Sus scrofa: one gene and its partners. The protein of the gene in region 1 purifies or fractionates together with the protein of each later gene. This does not show direct contact. Links are inferred from orthologs where the notes say so. Each region holds a gene or a part of one and is shown in the gene's direction. Other genes may lie near its edges.

Region 1 (4,235 bases):
GTCAGCAAGCCAAATGACAACACAGGATGAGGAGTCAGGTTCTCTTCCAGCTTTAGCATATAGCGTGCCAGTGAACCTTCGGTCTTCTCTTTGCTTTCTTAGCAATTTCTGAACAACTTAGAAAAAAAAAAAAACTTTTCAAAGATAGGAAATGCTTCCTTCAAACAGGACACTTTGGTTACAGACCAGAGAACTTTACTGCTTTTAATTAACTTGAAGGCTGTGAGGAGGGTGGGCAGCAGATTTAGGGATGTACCTTTGATTTAGTAAATTGGAGAGGGAACGAAGGCAAGAAAGAGTTAAAGTTATTCAGAAAAAAAGCGCAGAATGAAGCATCCTTTTTTTTCCCCCTTTCCTGGAGAAGTAGGGAGGGAGAGGTAACCTGAGCCTAGAGAACACAATTTACTAAAGAAGTGATGAGGTAACTGGGAGAACAGAAACAAAGTGTCCCTCAACTTTGCAGGTTAGGGACTGAAGAGATGAGGGCATTAGCAACAGGATGTGGCCGCGCCCTTACTGTTTCCGGTCCAGAGAACAGAGAGAACTGAGTTGGGGGCGCAGGGGCTGAGGAACAGCCCAGCACCAAGCCCTGAGCCCTGGGGGCTGGAAAGGGAGGAAAAAGGCTGGTAGGTCCCACACGCGCGCTTCCCTGTGTGCGCGGAGAAGAGGGTAAAAATTTGTGACAAATTCTCATTTCCTTCTCACATCAGCTTATTTTTTTTGGGGGGGGGGTGTTTTTAATAGAGATGCGGGGCAAGAAGACAAAGGGGCTCGTCCTGAATAATAACAGCAGCACTCCTTGCCCTCCGCCCCAATCCTAAAGTATTCTTGGCGCTCGGGGATTGTTTTTCACACGACTTGCGATTTGTGAGCCGGGAATAAACGGTCGCCTCTAAATTAACTGCACTGGCAATGGCTAGGCACGAAATTCCCTCATAAGCACATTTTCCTTTTACCTCGAAATGTCGCTCCAGCCCAGAAGCATCCTCATTCGCCCTCCCAAGGCCACTGGCCTCGGATAAATTTTAGGGTCTGCGAATGCTTCGTTCCTTTGGGCTCCCGGGAAGCCGCCCACGGCCCCTGCGCCCCCTCCTCCCAGGGCCGCAGCAGTGCACAACAACCATTTTCCCCGCCAGGAGCACACTGTGTCCACGCGCCGCTGCGACTTCGCTGATTGGTCGGGCTCCTGGTAAACATGGAGCGGGCAGCCAATGGGCGGGCTGTGCACGAGGGCTGCACGAGCCTCCGGGCCAGCGCTCGCGTGGCTCTGCCTGCCCGGCTACTATATAGAGCAGTTTATAGCTCTCAGCACAAGCTATCCTTTCCACTCCTCTGGCAGATCGCTGTTAGCTTTCCCGCCGAGATCCGGAGCTCTCCTCCAGCTGTTGGAGGAAAGACAGGAAAGAGCTTATTTTTCTTTTGAAATACCTTGGCACAACCAGCAAGGGAACATCTTGTCGAACATTTAATAGAGAGTTGAAAAGTGAAATAATTTTAATTCATTGCAAAGGGCCCTTTGATTCGGGGTTTTGTTTTTCACTCCTGCCCCCTGCCCCGTTTCTAACTCTCAAGTCAACCGAGCCCAAACATGGTGATGTTCAAGAAGATCAAGTCTTTTGAGGTGGTCTTTAACGACCCCGAAAAGGTGTACGGCTGTGGGGAGAAGGTGGCTGGCCGGGTGATAGTGGAGGTGTGTGAAGTCACTCGAATCAAAGCTGTCAGGATCCTGGCTTGTGGAGTGGCCAAAGTCCTGTGGATGCAGGGATCCCAGCAGTGCAAACAGACCTTGGACTACCTGCGCTATGAAGACACTCTTCTCCTGGACGACCACCCAACAGGTAAGTGACCCAGCTGTTGACTGGAGGGCGAAAGCTGATTTGAGAAGAGAGTTGATACGAATAAATAGAGCCTACACTAAATATTCTAAGTTGCTCAGGTGGTGTGGTTTGAATTTTGTGTCAATTCCTTATCTTTTTGTTTCTTTTTAATTTACAATCCCTGCCCACCCAAAAGGGTGATTTGTACAATTTCTTGTGGTGCTGTGTTCTGGAGATGTTGAAGGATGTTGCCTTACCTATTGAAACATTTCTGTGCATAAGTTGCTTATTCTTTGCTTGCTTCTTGTTTGAGATGATTGTAGCTTAACTGTCCTGGTTGAGCCTGTCAACACTACAGGGCTTTGCAACTTTTTGCCCAACAAAATACATCAGAATCTGTCATTTAGGAACAAAAGGGATGAGAATACGAGTTCTGCAATACTCTTGCGTGATGCCTAAGAATTCCTTATCGGCACAGATGCATTTTAAGTGTAACAGGAAACCTAATGGTTACTTGCTTATCTCTCTTTTCAGGGGAGAATGAGATGGTGATCATGAGACCTGGAAACAAATATGAATACAAGTTTGGCTTTGAGCTTCCTCAGGGGTAGGTATCAGCTAAATGCATCTGTGGACTTATCTGTCTCTAAAAATCTTCCCCTCCTTTGATCACTCACTGTTCTTGGAGAGCATTTTTTTAAGTTAGTTGTTTCCTTTTTCTTTATAAAGGCCTCTGGGAACATCTTTCAAAGGAAAATATGGGTGTGTAGACTACTGGGTGAAGGCTTTTCTTGATCGCCCAAGCCAGCCAACTCAAGAGACAAAAAAACACTTCGAAGTGATGGATCTAGTGGATGTCAATACCCCTGATTTAATGGTAAAGTCATTCTAAGATTCTGTTCTTTTTGGGCTCAGGGGTGCTAAGTCAAATGTCTAGGGCATTAAAAGTGAAGCCCCTCGGGGAATCAAGTCCTAAATCATCAAGGTGGGAGGGAAGGCTACCTACTATAAATAAGTACTGGAAAGGAACGGAAAGCAGGGAAAGGATCTCTAGAAATTCTCAAAACACCTCCATTCTACATAGGCACCTGTGTCTGCTAAAAAGGAGAAGAAAGTTTCCTGCATGTTCATTCCTGATGGCCGGGTGTCTGTCTCTGCTCGAATCGACAGAAAAGGGTTCTGTGAAGGTAAAAATCTGTGCTTAAAATGGGAGACTGCTAAAACAGAAACTATGGGTTTGGGATGAGGGCTGTAGAAAGGGACAAAAGAAAAGTCGTTGATTGTACTGAGCATCAGTTTTCATCTTTCCCATTGCTAGGTGATGAGATTAACATCCATGCTGATTTTGAGAATACATGTTCCCGCATTGTGGTGCCCAAAGCTGCCATTGTAGCCCGCCACACTTACCTTGCCAATGGCCAAACCAAAGTACTGACGCAGAAGTTGTCATCGGTCAGAGGCAATCACATTATCTCAGGAACCTGTGCATCATGGCGTGGCAAGAGCCTTCGGGTGCAGAAGATCAGGCCTTCTATCTTGGGCTGCAACATCCTTCGAGTTGAATACTTCTTACTGGTGAGTTTGTAGGGTTGGAGAGAGAAATTGTTCATCTGTCAAAACAATAGTGATGTTTTCTCCAGATCTCTAGCCTAACAAACTCCCGTGTTCCTTTCTAGATCTACGTTAGTGTCCCTGGCTCCAAGAAGGTCATTCTTGACCTGCCCCTGGTAATTGGCAGCAGGTCAGGCCTCAGCAGCCGGACGTCCAGCATGGCCAGCCGAACCAGCTCCGAGATGAGTTGGGTAGATCTAAACATCCCTGATACCCCCGAAGGTGAGCCAGACCTAATGTCTTTTCTTCCCTTCTGGTCTGCTTGGGTTTGTAAAATTGTGATGGTCAGGCATTTCTTGGCCAGGCTTCTTATCCCCATACTTTGTCTCTGTAGCTCCTCCATGCTATATGGATATCATTCCTGAAGATCACCGATTGGAGAGCCCCACCACTCCTCTGCTAGATGACACAGATGGCTCTCAAGACAGCCCTATCTTTATGTATGCTCCTGAGTTTAAGTTCATGCCACCACCTACTTACAGTGAGGTAAGAATTGTCATTTTGCCACTACATTTGTCCTAAGCCTTCAGTGGAAAGTTGACTTGGAGGGATTACTAAACTGGGTTGTTCTCTTAGTTCTTACCCAAACTAAAATATCCTTTTCTTTCTTCCTCCCAGGTGGATCCCTGCATCCTCAACAACAACGTGCAGTGAACATGTGGAAGGAAAGAAGCAGCTATACCTACTTCTTTCTTTTCACCTCTCTTCCTGGACTGACTTTTTAGGAGACTCAACAGTCTCTGCAGTGGGGTACAGATCCACCCCAGCCTCTGACTCTCCGGTGTAGGAGGTGATCATCAGGCAATC
Region 2 (3,050 bases), on another chromosome or scaffold:
AGTTCCAAGCTTGTTAATCTTGTGCTTTTTCTTCACTTGAAACATTACAGGCTAAGATCTGGAAGACTTGGAGGCGTAATTAAGAAAACATTTTCTTTAAATCGTCTTATTTCTTGCAGATTAGAGAACTGCAGCCTCACATCACACTGCTGCTGGGATCTTTCCACACTTCTGACTTCTAACCAGAGCCTGCGAAAGCTGAGCCTAGGCAACAATGACCTGGGTGATCTGGGGGTCATGCTACTCTGTGAAGTGTTGAAACAGCAGGGGTGCCTCCTGAAAAGCCTTAAGTAAGCATGCACTGCAGAGATTTGTATGACAGGACTCATAGTTGTAAGGAAAATTTGGCCAGTTTCCCAAATCCAGGATGGCTTCATTTGCACTTTGGGTGAGGTTGTGCCTGGAACAGCTGCAGTTTTTTTCTTCTTTTTTTTTGGCTGCATCCACGGCATATGGAAGTTTCCAGTCCAGGGGTTGAATCTGAGCTGAAGCTGCAACCTATGACATAACTATAGCAATGCTAGCTCCTTAACCCATTGTGCCACCATGGAAACTCCTAATTTTTTTTAATACATGGGATATGTGAGTCATGAAATACATAGTCAAATTCATTCAGACATTTATAATAATCATGGTTTAGTGGGTGTGAAAAGTGTTTCCATTCCATTCCTGAAAGAAACACAAGTCCCAGTGAAAACAAGACAAATAGAGTTATATTCCTATGCAAGGTATTGTACTTTATAGAATTCGACAAGTCATCCTAATTGCAAAGATCTTTGCATAGTTGGGGTCTGTTGGTCTTGGTTCTGAGAACTAGTAAATGGAAAATTCTCCAGAAACATCAAAATTAGAAATTCTATAAAATTTGGCCTATCTACAATGTGTTGGGACCATTCTCTCCCTTCCATCATCACTGGTACCACTGGGGTACTCATTACCTCTCTAGTAAGAGCTAGTCTGTCATCCCTGATGATCCCATTCTCCACTTTATATATTTCCTTCACTTGGCTTTAGGGACAACACACTCTCCTCTGCATTTTCTCCTACTACATTAACTATTTCTGCATAGTATCCTCTGGCTTCTCTTCATCTTTTTGACTTCTACATGCTGAATCTCCAGGACTCAATCAGTGGGTTAATTTTTCTTCTCCACACTTTCTTTTGTTTATATCATCTAGTCTTCTTGTTTTATCATATATGTGCTATGCTACCTCCAATTAATATCTTCACAAATTCCATGTCCAAATGCTTATCTCAGAGTTCCCATTGTGGCTCAGTGGGTTAAGAACCAGACATAGTGTCCATGAGCATGTGTGTTAAATCCCTGGTCTTGCTCAGTGGTGTTGTCACAAACTTCAACCTAGGTTTCAGGTGTGACTTGGATCCAGTGTTGTCACGGCTGTGGTGTAGGCCTGAAGCTGCAGCTCTGATTCTACCCCCAGCCCAGGAACTTCCATATGCCACAGGTGTGGCCATTAAAAAAAATGCTCGTCTCATCTTTCTACTTGGATGTCTAAGAAGCCTCCCAAATTTCAGATATCCATTTCCAAACATATGCTATTCCCTTCTGCCTAAAACCTGCTTCTTCTCCATCTCAGTCAATGGTAACCCAGTCTGAATTATTCAGTTCAAAAAAAAAAAACCTGCTGTCAGAGTTCCCTGTGTCTAAGCAGATTAAGGATATGGTGTCACTCCTGCAGCTCGGGCCATTGCTGTAGTGCTGGATGCCTGGTCAAAAAGAAAAAAGATCCTGGAGTTTTCTTTGACATTTTTTTCCTTAGGCACATATTCAATCCACTGGCACGTCCTATTAACTCTGCTTTCACAGTATACCCACTCATTGATGATTTTTTTTGGCCAGCTTCATGGTTCTTACCCTGGTTCAAGCCATTGTCATCTCTTGTTTTGATTATCCTGGTGGCATTCTTTAAGGCTACTCTGCATTTCTTGTTCTTACTATAGCAGATGGAGGGTAGAGCTAAAACATAAGTCAGATCATATCATTCCTACTAACATGTTCTTGTCACATTCAAAGTAAGAGCCACAAACTCATGACAATGTCCAAGGCCCCACATGATCTGGACCCTGCTGTTTCCACAAATTAATCTTCTCCTAGCCCTAGTTCCTTCTGCCTCACTCACACTGGTCTCCTTGCTGTTTTGAAAAAACATGGTCACCTCCAAAACTTTACACTTGCTGTTCCCTCTGCCTGGACATCCCCCTTGCTTTGATATCCACATGGTTTATTCCTGTGCATCTTTAAATTCTCTGCCTAGAAGTCTTCTCTGTGAGTCTGATTCTAACCATTCTACTGAAAATAGTGGGCCCAGCATGCTTTTCCTCTTCTCTACTAATTTTCCTCCTGAGTGTTGACAACCATCATACATTCTATATCATTTTCTCATTTATTTTTTATCTATGTACCACCTCAAGATTACAAATTATTTTTTCCCTTTCTTATGGCCGCACTTATGGCATATGGAAGTTCCCAGGCCAGGAATGAATCTGAGCTGCAGCTGCAACCTACGCTGCTGCTGTGGCAATGCTGGATCTCTTAATTCATTGTACCCAGTGAGGGATCGAAACCAGATACCCTCTACAGATACCCAAGCTTCTACATTCAGATTCTTTTTTTTTTGTCTTTGTAGGGCTTTACCTATGGGATATGAAATTTCAGCTAGGCGTTGAATCGGAGCTGTAGCTGCTGGCCTACGCCACAGCCACAGTAATGTGGGATCTGAACCACATCTGTGACCTACACCACAGCTCACGGCAACACCAGATCTTTAACCCTATGAGTGAGGCCAGGGATTGAATCTGTGTACTCATGGATGCTAGTCAGGTTCATTACCATTGAGCCACAATGGGAACTCCCTGCAGTACAGTGGGAACTCCAAGATTATAAATTCTATTTAGCCCAGAAATTTCTGTTCTTGCCCATGACCTCAAGGCTGAGAACCCACTGGCATTCAGGTTTGAATAAGTAGTTCAAATTAGCATTGTATCCTTATACTAACAGAGTGGAGCATATTCATTGCAGGAAAAGCCAT
Region 3 (3,807 bases), about 49 Mb from region 1:
GAGGTTCCTAGGCTAGGGGTCGGGAATCGGAGCCGTGGCCACCGGCCTACACCAGGGCCACAGCAACGCAGGATCCGAGCCGCGTCTGCAACCTTCACCACAGCTCACGGCAACACCGGGACCTTAACCCACTGAGCAAGGCCAGGGATCGAACCCACAACTTCATGGTTCCAAGTCGGATTCGTTAACCACTGCGCCACAATGGGAACTCCAAGCAAATATGGTTTTGGTAAAAGTATCTGAGATGTATATATAGCAAAAAGTTATTAAATGCTATGCTCACTCTGTTTTTTAGAAAAAAGAGTGGATTCAACAGACAGAGTTTACTTTGTGAATCATAACACAAAAACAACCCAGTGGGAGGATCCCAGAACCCAAGGGTACGTATGTACTACAGCCTTTCTTAGGTTATCTTACACATGTCTGAAGATAGAATTGCATTAAAAACCTTGATTCAGATGTTTTTAGCACCTGTAAAATGTTCACCTTATGATTATTGCATTATCTTTTAGCTTACAGAATGAAGAACCCCTGCCAGAAGGCTGGGAAATTAGGTATACCCGGGAAGGGGTTAGGTACTTTGTTGACCATAATACAAGAACAACAACATTCAAAGATCCTCGCAATGGCAAGTCATCTGTGTAAGTGAAGCTCTTATGTGCTGTGTAATGAGGACATAGGTTTCACTTCTAATTTAGCCTCAAGTTTAGCAATAAATTTTATTTTGTGTATCAAGAAAATTTACACAAGTAATACTCTACTATGCCTGTCTTTGCTCTACCTTCTTATAGAATGATTTTGCGGCACATAATTCCTTAGTAAGAACGATAGTAAATATTTACCTAGTGATTACTGTGTGCCAAGGATTCTTCTAAACATTTAGTGTAAATTAGCTCATTTTATCTTCCAACAATTCCTTGAGGTAGATACTGTTATTTTCCAAGTTCAGAAACTGAGGCTTAGGGAGCACAGCTAACTTATGCAAAATTATAGGCAAGTAATGGAAGTGGTTTCAGACCAAAGCAGTCTGTCCGAAGAGTCTGTGCTCTTAACAGGTGCATCATGCTGTTGCAACATCACAGAATGAGATGTTCAAGAAAATTTAATTTTCCAGGTAAAAATAGCTCAATTAAGCATTTGAAAGATCTCTCCTTAACTCCCTTATTACTCTTAGTGTAATGTCCTTGTATCAGTAAGTATGTAGAAATAGCCATAAAAACTTTTTGCAATTCCTACCGTTGCATCTGTCCACCTATCAGTATCTCTCTTCCCTCTTCATCCTGAAGATGAACTATCATCGTTCTTATCAAAGTCCAGTCCTCCCTGTGCTGGTGCACTAGCTCTTCCCCCTCTTTTCCAGTTCACTGTTCCAACAGTGATCGTCTTTATATTCTCCATCTTTCTCTGCTGAATTATTCTCAGCAGCTGTTAATTTCCTTAAATTAAAAGCAAACAGGGAGTTCCCTTCATGCTCAGTGGTTAACGAACCCAACTAGGATCCATGAGGATGGAGGTTCGATCCCTGGCCTTACTCAGTGGGTTAAGGATCTGGCGTTGCTGTGAGCTGTGGTGTAAATCACAGACTTGGCTTGGATCCTGAGTTGCTGTGACAGTGGTGTAGGCCAGCAGCTGCAGCTACGATTCAACCCCTAACCTGGGAACCTCCATATGCTGCATGCATGGCCTAAAAAGCAAAAAAAAAAAAAAAAAAAAAAAAAAGACAGACAAGCAAAACACCATAATTCTTCACCTTATGAATTCATTCAGTGAAAATTCATTTTTATTGCTACACTTTACAAGAAAACTACCTGAAAGAGCCTCTGCCCACCTGGGATTTGAAGTTTTCTTTGAAATAGTCAGTAGTTGACTTTAGTATTTTATTTAACTCACTTTTTTTTTTACAAAAGATCTATCCATACACATGCCCTCCCTCTTCATTTTTATATGTTGTGTGTCCTCATTACTTGAATCTCTGTTGGCCCACTAAATATATCTTTACTTCTCTCCCAGCAAGTAACTTTCCTGTACTCATTTTTTGGACCCTGGTACACTCCAGTCACATACTGAATATTAAATATCCAGCTTTATTATGAATTATTATATAGTTTGTTTTTGTTTTTCTTTAGAACTAAAGGTGGCCCACAGATTGCTTATGAACGCAGCTTTAGGTGGAAACTTGCTCACTTCCGTTATTTGTGCCAGGTACTACGGTGGTAAATAAATCTTATGTTCATAATCATTTAGTTTTATCTTTACACAGTACATGCACTGTAACTTACATTACAATGTTATTTTTCTTTGTAGTCTAATGCACTACCCAGTCATGTAAAGATCAATGTGTCCCGGCAGACATTGTTCGAAGATTCCTTCCAACAGGTAAGAACGATTTTATCAGAATAAAATAGTACAGTTAGCCTCTGTATCTGCAGCTACCACATCCGTGGATTCAGCCAACTGTGGATAGAAACTATTCTGGGGTGGGGACAGACGGGACTCCAGAAAGTTTCTAAAGGCTAAATTTGAATTTGCTGCAGCCAGCAAATTCAGGCATACCTCATTTTCTTGCACTTTGCTTTTATGTCGCTTTTGCAGATAGTGTTTTTTACAGATTGAAAGTTGTGGCAACCTTGTATTGAGCAAGTCTCTTGGCACCGTTTTTCCAGCAGGATGTGCTCACTTGGTGTCCCTGTGTCACATTTTTGTGATTCTTGAATATTTCAGACTTCATTATTAAATTTATATATTGATCTGTGATCAGTAATCTTTGATGTATACTATTGCAAAAAGATTACAACTTTCTCAGATGATGGTTAGCATTTTTTTAAATAATAAAATATCTTTTAATAAAGGTATGTATGTCTTTTTAGACATAATGCTAAACTTAATAGACTACATAGACTTATTAAGACTGTCTAGACTATTAAGTCGAGACTTAATAGACTACAGTATGATATAAATATAACTTCTACTCACACTGGGAAACCACAAAATTCATGTAATTTGATTTATTGTGGTATTCTCTTTATTGTAGTGGTCTGGAACCAAACCTGTAATATCCCCAAGGTATCCCTATGTTTATGTAGTATTTATATTGCATTACTTATTATACATAATTGAGAAATAATTTAAAGTATATGGGAAGATAGGAGTTCCTGTCGTGATTCAGTGGTGGTTGCGGGTTCAATCCCTGGCCTTGCTCAGTGGATTAAGGATCCAGCGTTGCTGTGAGCTGTGGTGTAGGTCGCAGACGCAGCTCAGATCCCATGTTGCTGTGGCTCCGGTGTAGGCCGGTGGCTACAGCTCCAATTAGACCCCTAGCCTGGGAACCTCCATATGCCGCGGGAGCAGCCCTAGAAAAGGCAAAAAGACAAAAAAAAAAAAAAAAAAAAAAAGCGTATGGGAAGATGTACATAGCTTATATTACTTGACTGTCTTTGGATTTTAGTATCTGTGGGGGTGTCCTGGAACCAACCTACCTTGGATATTGAGGGAAGATGTACAACTTGTCTCATTGTATTCTGTATATCCAAAGGGAGTTTTAGAATTTAGAAATTTGAAACCACTCAGAACACAGCTCTATCAATGACTATCATTTACTGTGTGTTCATTATAGTAATAGTCATAATAAATCCTATCATGTGTTGAGTGACTGCCATATGCTCGGCACTGGCATCTTATTTTCTTTTATTTATCTATATAGTCTTTTTATGGTCGCACCCACGGCGTATAATGTTCCCAGGCTAGGGGTAGAATTGGAGCTACAGCTCCCGACCTATACCACAGCCATAGCAATGTGGGATCCGAGCT
Region 4 (4,460 bases), on another chromosome or scaffold:
CTGTGGCACAGTGGTTTAAGATTTGGCATTGTCACTACAGCCACTCACGTCATTGCTGTGGTGTGGGTCATATCCCTGGCCTGGGAATTTTCACATGCCGCAGGCACGGCTGAAAAAAAATAGGGTGATTACGAAAGGCTTCACTGAGAGGGGTGGTTGAGTAAATATCTGAAAGAGATGAGTGAGCCAACTGACTACCTGGGGAAAGAGCTTTCCAGAAAGAGGGAAAAGCAAGTCCAAAGGCCCTCAGGCCAGAGTGGCTGAAGCAGGGTACTGAGTGGAAGAGTAGTTGGAGATGAGGTGAGAGAAATAAAGAAGTTTGAATAGGTTTATAGATGGGATTCATATAGGAATTACGGTATTCAGAAAGGCTGTAGCTCCTTGAAAGGCCATCTCCTGGATGGATCTGGAGTGGAAATAGGAAAAGCAGAGACTAAGTGCTCAACCAATTTAATTTGTATGCATAATAGGATCACTCTGAACGGGAAGACCCAAAAATAACAGAATAATCAGTGCACAGTGCTTAAAGCTAATTAAGTGATTAGTCTTCATTTTAGTTTGTGGTGATGAAGAGTGAAAAATTGAGCCTTCCTTCAACTTGTCAAAACTGAATTCCCTACCATCAGTAAAGTATATTGATTAATTTTTTTTTCTAATTCATAAAGTGCTATTGACTCTTTATATTAAGGAAATAGGGGTTCGATTGGTGTGGTGGGCATTTTACCAACCCCAGCAAGGGTTCTGGAGTCTTTTTACTTTTGCTTTATGTCACAAGAACAGATGCTCCGGAGTTCCCATCGTGGCTCAGTGGTTAATGAATCCGACTAGGAACCAGGAGGTTGTGGGTTCGATCCCTGGCCTTGCTCAGTCGGCTGAGGATCTGGCATTGAGGATCTGGCGTTGCCCTGAGCTGTGGTGTAGGTTGCAGACGCGGCTCGGATCCCGCGTTGCTGTGGCTCTGGCGTAGGCCGGCGGCTACAGCTCCGATTAGACCCCTAGCCTGGGAACCTCCATATGCCGTGGAAGCGGGCCAAGAAATGGCAAAAAGACAAAACAAAACAAAACAGATGCTCCACAAAAGTTACTTTTGTGTGTTTCTAGAATCTAGAACCCTGCCTGGCACATAGTAGGCTTAAGGTTGTCAGGTATAGCAAATTAAAACCCAATTTGCCCAATTAAATATGAGCATCAACCACAAATAGTTTTTTAGTATAAACATGTACCAGGCAGTATTTGGGGCACACCTACATATTACATATTTTTTATCTTAAGTTCATATTTAACTGGGTGCCCTGTATTTTATCTGGTGACCCTAGGATATTTTAAGTCAGTAAATTAACCGCTGACTTAATTGACTGAAAGCCTCCTTTCACCTGTGAAATGGGGCTGACAGAGACGCCCCTGGGCTCGATGGGAGGAGTAAATGAAGCTCCTGGCACTCACCGAGCCCTCAATTTACTTGATTGCTCGGGTACCATCTGACGAGGGGAAAACCCTCCCATTTTTAAACATACAAAGGATAAGAAGGCTTTCTGGCTAAAGGTTCCCAGGCCTGGCCTAGGTTGCCCACACCTGCAGGTACGGCCAGCCTCTTCCGGGTCAGGTGACCACGCGTGGTCACGTGACCTGGCCCGAGTGCGGGCGGTCGAAGGCGGAAGTGGGAGAGGAGTTGGGCTCCGCTTCTGTGGTCCCGTCAGGTAGCGAGCGCCGGCGCGGGGCAGCGCGGCGGGCAGGCTGGCGGGGGCGCGGGGCTGGCCTGGGGCAGCGGGCAGCGGGCAGCGCGGGGTGGGCCAGGGGCGGCGCGGCCCGGGCGCCGGGGGGCGGTGGCTTCCTGTGGGAGGGGCCTGGCGCGGCGGTTCCGGCCTCCGAGGAGGGGTGTCCCGGCTCCCGCCCGAGCGGGGTGGGCGCGCTGCGGGCGGTGCGGGGGCAACTCCGAGGTGGGCGCCAAGGCACGCATAAGTGCGGTGGCCAGCAAGTCCTCCTGGAAGGGACAAGCATCTTAGGTGCCAGGGATGAAGAGGAGTGACCTTTGTGGCGGGATCGGGACAGGAGGAAGGGGCAACTTGGGACTGAGCTAGAATGGGTCGCCTGAGAATTGGCGAACGACGTGGAAGGAAAAATCAGGAGGAAGATGCTGCCTGAACCGCGCTTGAGCGCCTCTTCCTTCCTTCCTCTTTGGCAATGATTGGTACCCGAGACTTTGATTTTGGTCCCATTCAGTTTCTAAACTTCAGGAGGGATCAGAGAATCTTGATCATTTTGCTTTCGTCACGCCCACTTAGTCCTGCTTGGGTAGGGTTTCTACTTCTTGAGAACCTAGCCTTTCAGATCATGTTTCTTTGAAATTTCCACAGATCAGATCAACTTCTGGGCTTAAGAAAAGAGCGTGGGCACTTTGCTCTGGCTGTAAAATGGCTTTTAGCTTAAACTGTTGAGCACGGTCCAATCCCAGCATTACCTCACCTAACAGCGACTGCAGTAACCTTGGCCGGTATCTACCTACCCTGCTTTATGACTTTTTCTTTCTTGAGTTTAAATTATTCAGTTTCCTTTGCCATGTGACTGCTTATCTTGACAAACTGTAACTAGCTAGCATGACTGGAAGGTCTGTGTTGTGTTCCATAGAACTGTGACCTGGATCATGATTTTGAGATTAAATACCTGTGTTAAGGCTGTTCACCCGCTTTTTCTTGTGTTTACTAACATTTGCAAAAGTGGAATGCATTTCATGGATGTGATGTAATAGAAGTGAATGTTCAAACTGGACAGTCCCAGGAGCTGGAGTTGTTTTGGGTTACAAGTAGGAAAAAAAAAAAAAGTACCTTGCTAATGTGTTTTGAGTTCAAGTTTTTAGAATGTTTGACAAACATTTAAAAATTGATTTCTGTGACAGCCCTGGGAGTTAGATTAGGAAGATGTTTATTCTCATTTCACAGTGAACAAACAGATCTCAGAAGACTGGATTTTGTTGACAATTTTTTTGTGTTTTCTTGTCTGCTGTTCTCTTTCTTTCTGATAGACTGCAAATTCCTCAAAGGGCGGGGTTTATATCTTATTTGGCTTATTTGGCAACTAGCCTGGAGCCAGGTGTGCTATGGGCACTTGGTAAGTTTTTGGTGAATAAATGAATTTCTAAAGGTCACAGACCTGTAAGTGGAGAAGAGATTTGAATCTGAGTCCTGCCTCTTCTTCTTGGTAAATGAGCTTGCCATTTTGTTGTTTGGTCTATAAGAAAATGATAGGTGTGGGGTTGGGTTGGCTTGGGTTGGCTTCTCAATCTCTTATTTAGTGACTACTTTCCCATAGTAAAAAAAGCTTATGGGAGTTCCCTGGTGGCTCAGCAGATTAAGGATCTGGCATTGTTACTGCTATGGCTGGAGTCACTGCTGTGACATGGGTTTGATCCCTGGCCCTCAAACTTCCACATCCACCTCCCCCCCCAAAAAAAGAAAAAAAGAGCTTATTCAGTCTTCATTATGATCCTCTGAAGGTTGAAATTGTCCCTATTCTGCAGTTGAAGAAACTGAGGCTTAGTGAAGTCCTTGTTTGAGAATCTAGAAGTCGTGAATGACTGAGCAGGGACTCATGCCCAGGCCTTTTATCCTTGGACCTATTCTTTTCCATTTTTAGATTCAATGTAAAGTTTCAAAAAAATGTTTTTTTCAAGTGTGCAAAGGATGACATTTTAAGGGGAAAATAGTATAGGTTATAGCAATAATTGTGAATATGGAGTGTAACTAAAGTTTAGAAAATCCTATGCTATACCATAGCTGCCTCTTTATTTTTTCATTTGGTGGCTATTTATAAGCACGAACTCTTTGCCAGGCATTGTTCTAGGGTTTTCATTGTTCAGATCCGTAGTCACTAGACACATGGGGCTGCCGAGTACAGGAGATAGGCTATGACTATACAATACATGCCAGATTTTGGAAGACTTAGTACAGAAAGATAAAGGTAAAATTTCTCATTAATTTTTAAAAAGATTATACTAAATGACCTTATAAATGTAATGTACTTATATGCTATAAATGGTAGCATTAAAGTTTATTGTCCTAAGTACAATAGAATTGAAATTTCCTTTGTTTAGTTTTTATTTTTATTTATTTATTTATTTTTTTGTCTTTTTGCCATTTCTCGGGCCGCTCTCGCGGCATATGGAGGTTCCCAGGCTAGGGGTCCAATCGGAGCTGTAGCCACCGGCCTACACCAGAGCCACAGCAACGCAGGATCCGAGCCGCGTCTGCAGCCTACACCACAGCTCACGGCAACGCCGGATCATTAACCCACTGAGCAAGGGCAGGGACCGGATCATTAACCCACTGAGCAAGGGCATGGTTCCTAGTCGGATTCGTTAACCACTGTGCCACGACAGGAACTCCCCCCCCCCTTTTTTTTTTTGAGTTTAGTTTTTAAAATATTTCCTAGAGGTGTTCCTGTCGCAGTGCAGTGGAAACAAATCT

What was found.
Region 2: the proteins of TXNIP (region 1) and NLRP3 purify together in Homo sapiens (affinity purification with western blotting, with the first as the bait; 4 studies listed by BioGRID). This does not show direct contact. The link is inferred for Sus scrofa from reciprocal best matches to the Homo sapiens genes TXNIP and NLRP3.
Region 3: the proteins of TXNIP (region 1) and WWP1 purify together in Homo sapiens (affinity purification with mass spectrometry; 4 studies listed by BioGRID and IntAct, counting the BioPlex papers as one, with this or other methods). This does not show direct contact. The link is inferred for Sus scrofa from reciprocal best matches to the Homo sapiens genes TXNIP and WWP1.
Region 4: the proteins of TXNIP (region 1) and WWP2 purify together in Homo sapiens (affinity purification with mass spectrometry; 3 studies listed by BioGRID and IntAct, with this or other methods). This does not show direct contact. The link is inferred for Sus scrofa from reciprocal best matches to the Homo sapiens genes TXNIP and WWP2.

Annotation. Positions count from the first base shown.
Region 1 is NC_010446.5:99,347,263-99,351,497, forward strand, and holds the start of TXNIP (thioredoxin-interacting protein), read left to right. Parts: upstream 1-1,326; 5' UTR 1,327-1,588; coding exon 1,589-1,838; intron 1,839-2,351; coding exon 2,352-2,424; intron 2,425-2,546; coding exon 2,547-2,694; intron 2,695-2,901; coding exon 2,902-3,004; intron 3,005-3,135; coding exon 3,136-3,392; intron 3,393-3,493; coding exon 3,494-3,650; intron 3,651-3,762; coding exon 3,763-3,914; intron 3,915-4,046; coding exon 4,047-4,082; 3' UTR 4,083-4,235. UniProt on the Homo sapiens protein: May act as an oxidative stress mediator by inhibiting thioredoxin activity or by limiting its bioavailability.
Region 2 is NC_010444.4:56,894,361-56,897,410, reverse strand, and holds part of NLRP3 (NACHT, LRR and PYD domains-containing protein 3), read left to right. Parts: intron 1-119; coding exon 120-290; intron 291-3,050. UniProt on the Homo sapiens protein: Sensor component of the NLRP3 inflammasome, which mediates inflammasome activation in response to defects in membrane integrity, leading to secretion of inflammatory cytokines IL1B and IL18 and pyroptosis.
Region 3 is NC_010446.5:50,415,191-50,418,997, reverse strand, and holds part of WWP1 (NEDD4-like E3 ubiquitin-protein ligase WWP1), read left to right. Parts: intron 1-295; coding exon 296-380; intron 381-512; coding exon 513-641; intron 642-2,126; coding exon 2,127-2,202; intron 2,203-2,304; coding exon 2,305-2,376; intron 2,377-3,807. UniProt on the Homo sapiens protein: E3 ubiquitin-protein ligase which accepts ubiquitin from an E2 ubiquitin-conjugating enzyme in the form of a thioester and then directly transfers the ubiquitin to targeted substrates.
Region 4 is NC_010448.4:17,225,076-17,229,535, reverse strand, and holds the start of WWP2 (NEDD4-like E3 ubiquitin-protein ligase WWP2), read left to right. Parts: upstream 1-1,553; 5' UTR 1,554-1,697; intron 1,698-1,844; exon of another isoform or gene 1,845-2,188; intron 2,189-4,460. UniProt on the Homo sapiens protein: E3 ubiquitin-protein ligase which accepts ubiquitin from an E2 ubiquitin-conjugating enzyme in the form of a thioester and then directly transfers the ubiquitin to targeted substrates.